Linked DNA regions of Ovis aries. The protein of the gene in region 1 purifies or fractionates together with the protein of each later gene. This does not show direct contact. Links are inferred from orthologs where the notes say so. Each region holds a gene or a part of one and is shown in the gene's direction. Other genes may lie near its edges. The genes, in order: core histone macro-H2A.1 and EZH2.

What was found.
Region 2: the proteins of core histone macro-H2A.1 (region 1) and EZH2 purify together in Homo sapiens (affinity purification with mass spectrometry; 3 studies listed by BioGRID and IntAct, with this or other methods). This does not show direct contact. The link is inferred for Ovis aries from reciprocal best matches to the Homo sapiens genes MACROH2A1 and EZH2.

The regions. Positions count from the first base shown.
Region 1 is NC_056058.1:44,506,273-44,510,180, reverse strand, and holds the start of core histone macro-H2A.1, read left to right. Parts: upstream 1-1,510; 5' UTR 1,511-1,723; intron 1,724-1,888; exon of another isoform or gene 1,889-2,056; intron 2,057-2,313; exon of another isoform or gene 2,314-2,497; intron 2,498-3,908. UniProt on the Homo sapiens protein: Variant histone H2A which replaces conventional H2A in a subset of nucleosomes where it represses transcription. Nucleosomes wrap and compact DNA into chromatin, limiting DNA accessibility to the cellular machineries which require DNA as a template.
Region 2 is NC_056057.1:113,168,598-113,172,405, reverse strand, and holds part of EZH2 (histone-lysine N-methyltransferase EZH2), read left to right. Parts: intron 1-1,884; coding exon 1,885-1,976; intron 1,977-3,353; coding exon 3,354-3,594; intron 3,595-3,808. UniProt on the Homo sapiens protein: Polycomb group (PcG) protein. Catalytic subunit of the PRC2/EED-EZH2 complex, which methylates 'Lys-9' (H3K9me) and 'Lys-27' (H3K27me) of histone H3, leading to transcriptional repression of the affected target gene.

The DNA.
Region 1 (3,908 bases):
GGGTCGCAGAGTCAGACACGACTGAGTGAATTTCACTTTCACTCAATTCCTTAAATGTCTCCTTATCCATGAGGCCTTTTCTAAAATTTGAAGCCCCATCCCAACTTATACCTCTATCCCTCTTCCTTGCTTTGTCATCAAGCCCAAGCTCATATTGCTTGCTACATGACAGGCCAGTAAATCGAGAGATGAGTTGTTGGGAGAAAGAATGGCGACTTATTTAGAAAGCCAGAAAACCAAGAAGATGGGGGACTCTTGCCTCCAGAGAACCATCTTGCCTGAGTTAGAATTCAGGCTTCTTTTATACTAAAAGGGAAGGGAGTAAAGTCAAACATTTCCTGGTTCTAGTCAGCCTGGAAAGAGGATGTGTTAATTTCTTCCAAGAAGCCATTCACAGGTGGGCCTGGTCAGGATATTTCCCTTGAGTTAAGAAATGGGCCATTTTGTATAATTTAAGCTTATAGGCAACACTCCTTTAGTGATTAACTTGTAATAGAATACAAAAGATTCTTGCCAGTTACAGCTTTATTTTTCTGTATTGCATTTACACCATCTGATACATCACCTCTTTTGCCTATTATCTTTCTTTACCAGCTAGACTGCAAACTTCTGGAGCTCAGGGATTTTTGCCTGTTCTATTCACTGCTTCATCTTCATCACCCAAATTGGTGCATGGCACAAAGTATGACCACAGTAGTTAACTGAGTTAATGAATGAATGGCATGTATTGGACACTGCTTTGCAGACTTTTGAAGTAGAGTGTAAAGCATCGTGGTGAAGGGAGGAGGTTACCACCACTGCTACTGGGGCAACCTGAGGGAAGGGAGTGGTCATTAATGACTCATAATCTTCCACCACCAACTCAGCAGTCTCAGAACAACTCTGCAGGGTCTGTATTGTTATCTAAATTTGGTTCAGCTGGGTCTAATGCCTCCCCCCTCCCCCTTCGGTAGATGGAGGGGAGAGGAGGAGGAGCCGGAGGGCTCTTACGTTAGAACTTGGGATGGGTCACTAAGGTCTTAAGGCCAAAAACCAATTTAGAAATACAAGTTGGGTTTTGCAGCGGGCCCCTCTTTCTGCTTGTCTCAGTCAAAACTAAATTAATTTTTAAAAATAAAGGGAAAGGGAAAATAATTAAAAAGCAAACAAAAATGTGTGTGATGATAAGAGAATCACTGTTTAGTAAATCTCAACTTGGGTCCAAGAGTGAACATTTGCTGAATCTAAGTAAACGGCTTCCATGCAACAAAGCAAATCAATCCAGACTTCTAGGGGTCACTGGGAAGAACTCCAGGGGAGCCGGATGCGCAGCAGTTGGTCGTGGGGAAGACCAGGCTTGATAAGGGCTTGGGTCCAAAGACAGCGGGAGGTTCTGAGGTGCGAGGGAGGTTTGCATTGGTTGGGGAGGGAAAAATCCTTGCTTATAACATTAATTTTGCCTCCGTCCCTGCGTTAATGAGAAGGCTTCTAGAGATCGGCAGGAAAAGCCCCCCCCCGCCTCGCCCGCCCCAGTAGGCGCTCAATAAGCGTTCCTCTAGTCGCACAGGCTGGGACGCGCGCTGGAGAAGCGCCTCTACCCAGGGTCCCGACCTTTCACAGGACTTAGCTCAGGGCGAGTCCCCAGCTCGGGCGGGACCCTGCGTGTGGCGTCCAGGCCAGGTGACAGAGGACCAGAGCTGGGGCCGCCGTGCGGCCGGGAAACTAACCCACCGACGTCCAGGAGGTACAGCACGGAGGGCCCCCGCGCGCGCGCGGCTGCTGGCTTGGGGTCAAGGCTGGGGCGCCCAGGTGGCGCGGGAGGGGTGGCCGGACGCGCGCGGACGGGATGGGATGTGACGAGCGGCGCGCTGTGCATTGTGGGAATCCCGGGGCCGCGGCGACTGGTTCCAGTTCACTCGGCAGCGGAGCCGGGCGGAGGGGGCGAGCGCGGGTCGCGCAGGCGGGAAGCGAGGAGGTGGGCGGGCGGGCCAGCGAGGAGCGCGGAGAGAAAAGGCGCGAGCGGCCGAGAGGGCACAGGCCGGACACCTTGCTGCTGCTGCCGCCGCCGAGCCGCCCCGTAAGTGCCGCCTGGGCCCCCTCGCCGCGCCGCGTCCCCGCCGCCCGGGTCCGGCTGCCCCGCTCTTCCGGCCGAGGGTGCATGGGAGCGGCCGGGCCTGGCGGGCACCTGGCGGCGCACGGCCGACTCGGGCAGCTGGGTTCAACGCGGCCCACGCCGGGGCCTCGCGCGCGCACGGCGTCCTCCCAGGCCCTGCCCGGGCCGCGCGGGATCCTCTTTGGTTTTGTTCAAAAAGCAAACCCGGAAGCCAACTTGTCCTAGAACCGCGTCCTCCTGCCCGCGCCTGGGCGCTTTTGTGAGCAGGAGACAGCCCCGGCTCGTGCCCCGGTGACCCGTCCTGCAGCGGGCGGGCTGGACTCGAGGCCGGGGGAGGCGTCGCGGCGGGAGCCGGTCGGCCTGGGCCTGGGCGCCCGGGAGCTGTTGTGCGCGGAGTTGTACTTGGTGAGGCGCCCGCCCGCTCGCGAGTTGCCGGCCCAGGGCACAATAAGTGGGGCTCGAGCCCCAGGTGGCGGTGGTGTAGGCGTCTGGGTGGTGTGCTGGGAGAGTGGGATGGGGGTTTGGGGGGTAGTTGCAAGACTGGAACCAAGGCGGGGTGGGGAGGGGTTTGTCCAGGGACTGGCTGGGGAGGGGCCACAGGAACCCCCGCTGCCCTCTCATTTTTATGAACAGCCTTTTGTTTGCTTTGTGGTTGGGAGGTGGTGTTTGTTTTTTGTTTGTTTGTTTGTTTGTTTTTTTCCCAAGGTAACTCCAGAAGGCTGTAGGCTCTTCCAGTGGAGAAGGCCAGGAGGGAAGTCTTTCGCTGGGGGGTGGGGTGGAAAGAGGAGGTGAGTGCGCAGGATGCTGCTGGTCATGTCGCCTGACAACAGGTGTGCGGGATGGCGCGTCCCATCTGCACTACGGCAGGGACCACAGATCACTCAGGAAGGATCTTGTCAGTAGATTGCTTGAAACGTTGTTTTAGACAAGATGTTAGGGAAAGATACTTTCCCGAGTGTGGAAGTAAGAGACACAGAGCTGAGACAAGCCTTAAATTCAACAATTACAGTTACCACGAAGTCCTTGTAAGACTTTAATGATCGAATAAACAGCGTATAAGAATAGACAATTAGAGGGGCGCTCCTGCTAGCTTCTCTCTTTCTTCTACCTATGTGGTTTGAGGTTTCATCATTAAAGAGGGGGAAAGTGCTTTGTTCCAAGATTTCCTGCTCCAAGGACTCCGGAAATTTTGAACAGTTTTAAATTAAAATGAGTGGGAGACTCTATTTGTGAATTAGATGGAATCCACCTACTCCGGGCCACCTTTAGATTACTGGTCTGCTTTCAGAGGAGTTATTAGCTCTGAAATGGACCCTTCTTTGCTGCACCTGGAATTAATACATGTACACTACTAACCAAAGCTGGGCAATGGCATCTCAGTCTTGCACAAGAGGCTCCCCAATGAACAGAGATGTATTTTTCAACCTATTTTTCCTTCTTCCTCTTTTCCTAAATCCTCAAGACTTTAAAATCTTATTTACTGTATTTTTAGGAGGAGAGTAGGAAATCTTTCCACTTTGTTACTGTTTTGATCTCTTACCATTGTTAATACTGATCCTTAGATAAAGGTATTTAGAAGGAGGGAGGGGGTTAAATAAGTGAAAATTGTTTGAGGCAGAGCCTTTAGAATGAGGATGGGATGGCTTACGTTTTATTAAACTTTGAGTTGTCTAGACCATCACACATGACATTCTATACTCCATACAACTATAAGTCACTGGCTTGGTCTATCCCAGTGGGCCAGGGTCAGAGAGTGGTATATCTCAGGCTGCCATTTTTTCTGGTCCTCCAGATAGCAGATCTCTGGAAGACCCTT
Region 2 (3,808 bases), on another chromosome or scaffold:
TGATGAGTTGCAGTGTTTTTTTTTTCCCATTTGTTTGGTAAAAATCCTGTAGCAAAGTTAAAAAACAAAACATTTAGAAATAGTTAAATGTATCATTTGGCTCTCCCTACTCCAAGATTTTAAAGGGTGTCTCACCTTTTTCCTTAGTACGTTTTAAACATTTTTTTTTAAACATTTCTCCCTTTGATCCATTTGGCGTTTGCTCTGTCAGGACTTTAGCTCCAGCTCACCCTCGCATCTCCAGGGCTGCTGTTTCCCCACCATTGTCCGCAGGCCCCTCTGGGGCTGCCCGGAGCTGCACTTGGTCCTGGTCAGCACAGAGGCTGGGCTCTGCTTCTGATCCCAGGGTCCTGTTCCTTGAGGCTGTCTGTCTGGGGGCTCCTGGCCATCTCAAGGTCTCCTGGCCATTTTCGTTTTTCTATGTAAATTTTAGAATCAGTTTGTCTAAATTAAAAAGAGTCTAGGTATGTTTATTGGAATCGCATTAAATTTATATTACCTAAGGTAAAACTCACATTTTAAAGAAAGGGTTCTATCTAACTGTCCGATAACTCTCCTTTTGTTCTTTAATTTCCTTTCAGATTCTCTTCCCGTAGCTCAAGTAAAATGACTGTTGCTGTAACTTTTTGTTGTCTAGTTGCCAAGTCGTGTCCAGCTCTTTTGCAACTCCATCTACTGTCACTTAGTCCTGACTTAGTGACACCTTCTCTCTCGAGACCAGAGTGTGTGTACATGAGGGTGTACAGACCCACATATGTCTTCTTCCATGAACTGCGGCAAAATATCAGTCTCTAAACCTACCATGTACTGGAGGAGGCATCCAGGCTCAAAGCCCGCATGTGCCTTTGGCTCATGATGACCTTGTGTCTGGCCTGAAGTAACTCCTTCCCCTTATGTGGCCTCTACCTTCCATGTGCTCAGCCTTTATGTTGACATTTTAGGGGCCCTCACCCGCGCCAGTCCAGGGTGAAATCAGTCATATGGTGTCAGTCTTGTTCTGGGACCTGGGACCGGAGCCTTGAATTTCCAGTTTAAAAGCATAACTTTGTTCGTCCTTTCTCTTCTCTCCTCATCAGCCTGTCATTTCCCGTTTAAGTTCTATGGCTAGAAGGATGGCTTTTTACATATATGTTTTGGAGTGATTTATTTCATGAATCCGTCGCTTGTTTTCATCCATATAACTTCTCATCGTGTGTGATTCTGGGTGGGGCGTTTCTGGTGTTTGCCTGTGTGCTCTGGAAGCCAGCACCCCAGGCTGTCCCGCCCAGCTGCTGTGCTTCCATCCTTGGTTAGGGCACCAGTGTGCTGGAGTGTGAGTCTCTCTGGTACGTTATTTGGGCGTCTTAAGTTTCAAACACTATATCTTGCCAAAGCCGTTTTATCTGACTACTATTTTTCCCTGCAGAAGTGCTGACTGCAGGCTCCCCCTGGGTTCTTGAATTGTGTGTGATTCGTAGAAACTGACTTGTAGAATTCCGAGGCTGTCCTCACTGTCTTTGAACCCAGGTTTTTAACAAGCGGTGTCCCAGTCTGTTCCCCCATTTGACAAGCTAGGGGCTGACTTCTTTAGAAATCAATAAGTTGTAGATGTCAGGATTCTTCTGGTGAAAAGAGGAAACTGATTTCTGTGTAGAGGATACATCAGTTGTTTCTATGGAGACATTAAAGACTCAAGTAAATGTTTATGATCAGAGCTCAGGTGTTCTGGGGGAGAGCTGAGGGGATACATGGTGAGTGTGCAGTGAGCCTGAAGGAAGCTCCAGAAGGTGAGCCACATGTTAGCAGGAGTGTGATGATGGGTCCTTGACTTTTTCCTTTGGAACAGGAGGAATGAGAAAGTAACTAGTTTACTTTATGTTTGGATGTTTTCTGTTTATTTTGCAGCTTTTCATGCAACACCCAACACTTACAAGCGGAAGAACACAGAGACGGCCCTCGACAATAAGCCTTGTGGCCCCCACTGTTACCAGCACTTGGTAAGCACATGCGGGGGGTTCTGGAGGGAGTGGAGAAGTCTGAATTTTGAATTTTCGTGAGATCTGTGAAGTCAGCGGTAAGCTGCTGTTCCCGTACTGTTACTGGCCACACGATAGGCAGAGGTTTTTCTCAGCCACGTTTCTTGGGAGCTCGTACCTGCTGCACACCCTAGTCCTTTGTTACCTTGCGCTATTCTCTACCAGCGTTAGTCTCTTCAGCAGTGGATGCAGGTCTTTAGGATCCGAGACTCTCGTGCCTTCCGCCAACCTTAGAGCTTGGGAAGCACAGAGAGCCCGCCCAAACCCCAGCAGCACAGAAGTGTCCGAGCCTTGCTCAGAGCCATCGCCCTTCTGTGCAGACCTGCTGTAGTTTAGCGCATTATATGTAGCTCCCAGAGATGAGGGGTGTGTGTGGTGTGTTTTTTTTTTTTTTTTTTTTTGTAATGATGGAGAGAAGGTAAGGGTGTAGGAAAATATGAGGTAGAAAAGTTGCTTTTTATGGGTACTATCTTATTTTTACCATTTCCCCTCTTTGAACCAAGCCACTCCTACCTAGGAACTAAGTGGGTATATATTGCCTGTTGGATTTTGGACAGAAGATTCATTGAATGGCACCTACAGAAGGTATCCTATTTTTAAGCAATTTGGTTTTTGTAGAATGAAGTATAAAACTGTTGGCTGCTCTCAAACTTCTCCCTTCTATTGCCACTAAAAATGGAATTCTTGAGCACTGTTGTATAATATTCTTTACAAGGCAGCATTTTATTTGGCTCACCTAAAGTGTGTCTGTGGTCTCTATAATCCGTGCTCTTACCGTTGTTGTATACTTTCCGAGATGGGGTTATTGCGCCTGGCAGCGCAGACTGTGACCCTCACTGCCTGTCCCTCAAGGGCCTTTCATGTCTTCCTGGGGCTGTGCATCCCTCACAGGGGAAAGGGGGCAGAAAAGGGACGGATGGAGCACGTGTATGTCTTGTATTCTTCTTGTATACTTCCAATGCTACCATAGATGAACGAGTGTTAGCTTACGAAGTCCCGAGACAGGAAAGGCTGACTTTAGATGCACACTGGGTGTATGGCTCCTCTTAAAGTTCACTTTTAAATAGACTGTGTTTCCTAAAATATATTCTGTATTTTAACTCCTAATCTCAGTTAATACAGAACTGTCTTGCCTGAGTTTGTAGAAGCCATATTTATCTTTCTCAAATCTTCAAACCATGGAAAGCAGATAGGAAGATGATTGTCTTTAGATGTGACTGCCTGTGAAAAGCAGATACTGATAAGTCTGACTAACATGCTTACCCAATCCTTTCCTTCCTCCTCTGCCAGAATGAGCTGTAGAACTTGACTTTGATGTCTCCGCTCTTGCTGTTGTAGGAGGGAGCGAAGGAGTTCGCTGCGGCCCTCACCGCCGAGCGGATCAAGACCCCCCCGAAGCGCCCCGGGGGCCGCCGGAGAGGCCGGCTTCCCAACAACAGCAGCAGGCCCAGCACCCCCACCATCAATGTGCTGGAGTCGAAGGACACGGACAGTGACCGGGAGGCGGGGGCTGAGACTGGCGGGGAGAGCAACGACAAGGATGAGGAGGAGAAGAAGGACGAGACCTCGAGCTCCTCGGGTGAGGCTGCGGCCAGGCCCCTGCTGCTTGTGGGGCTCTGGGCTGCTCTGGTCCGCGCTGTGCCAGGGGCTGGGTGCTCTGCTGAGCCGTTAGTTTCCAGCGTGGTGAGACCCCCAGGAGCAGGGCTGGGGGCTCCCTGCTGCTGTCTTTGCCCTGCACCCAGCGCTCACCTGTGGTGGTGTCCGTGCGGGTTATTTGAAGGTTGAGGATCCAG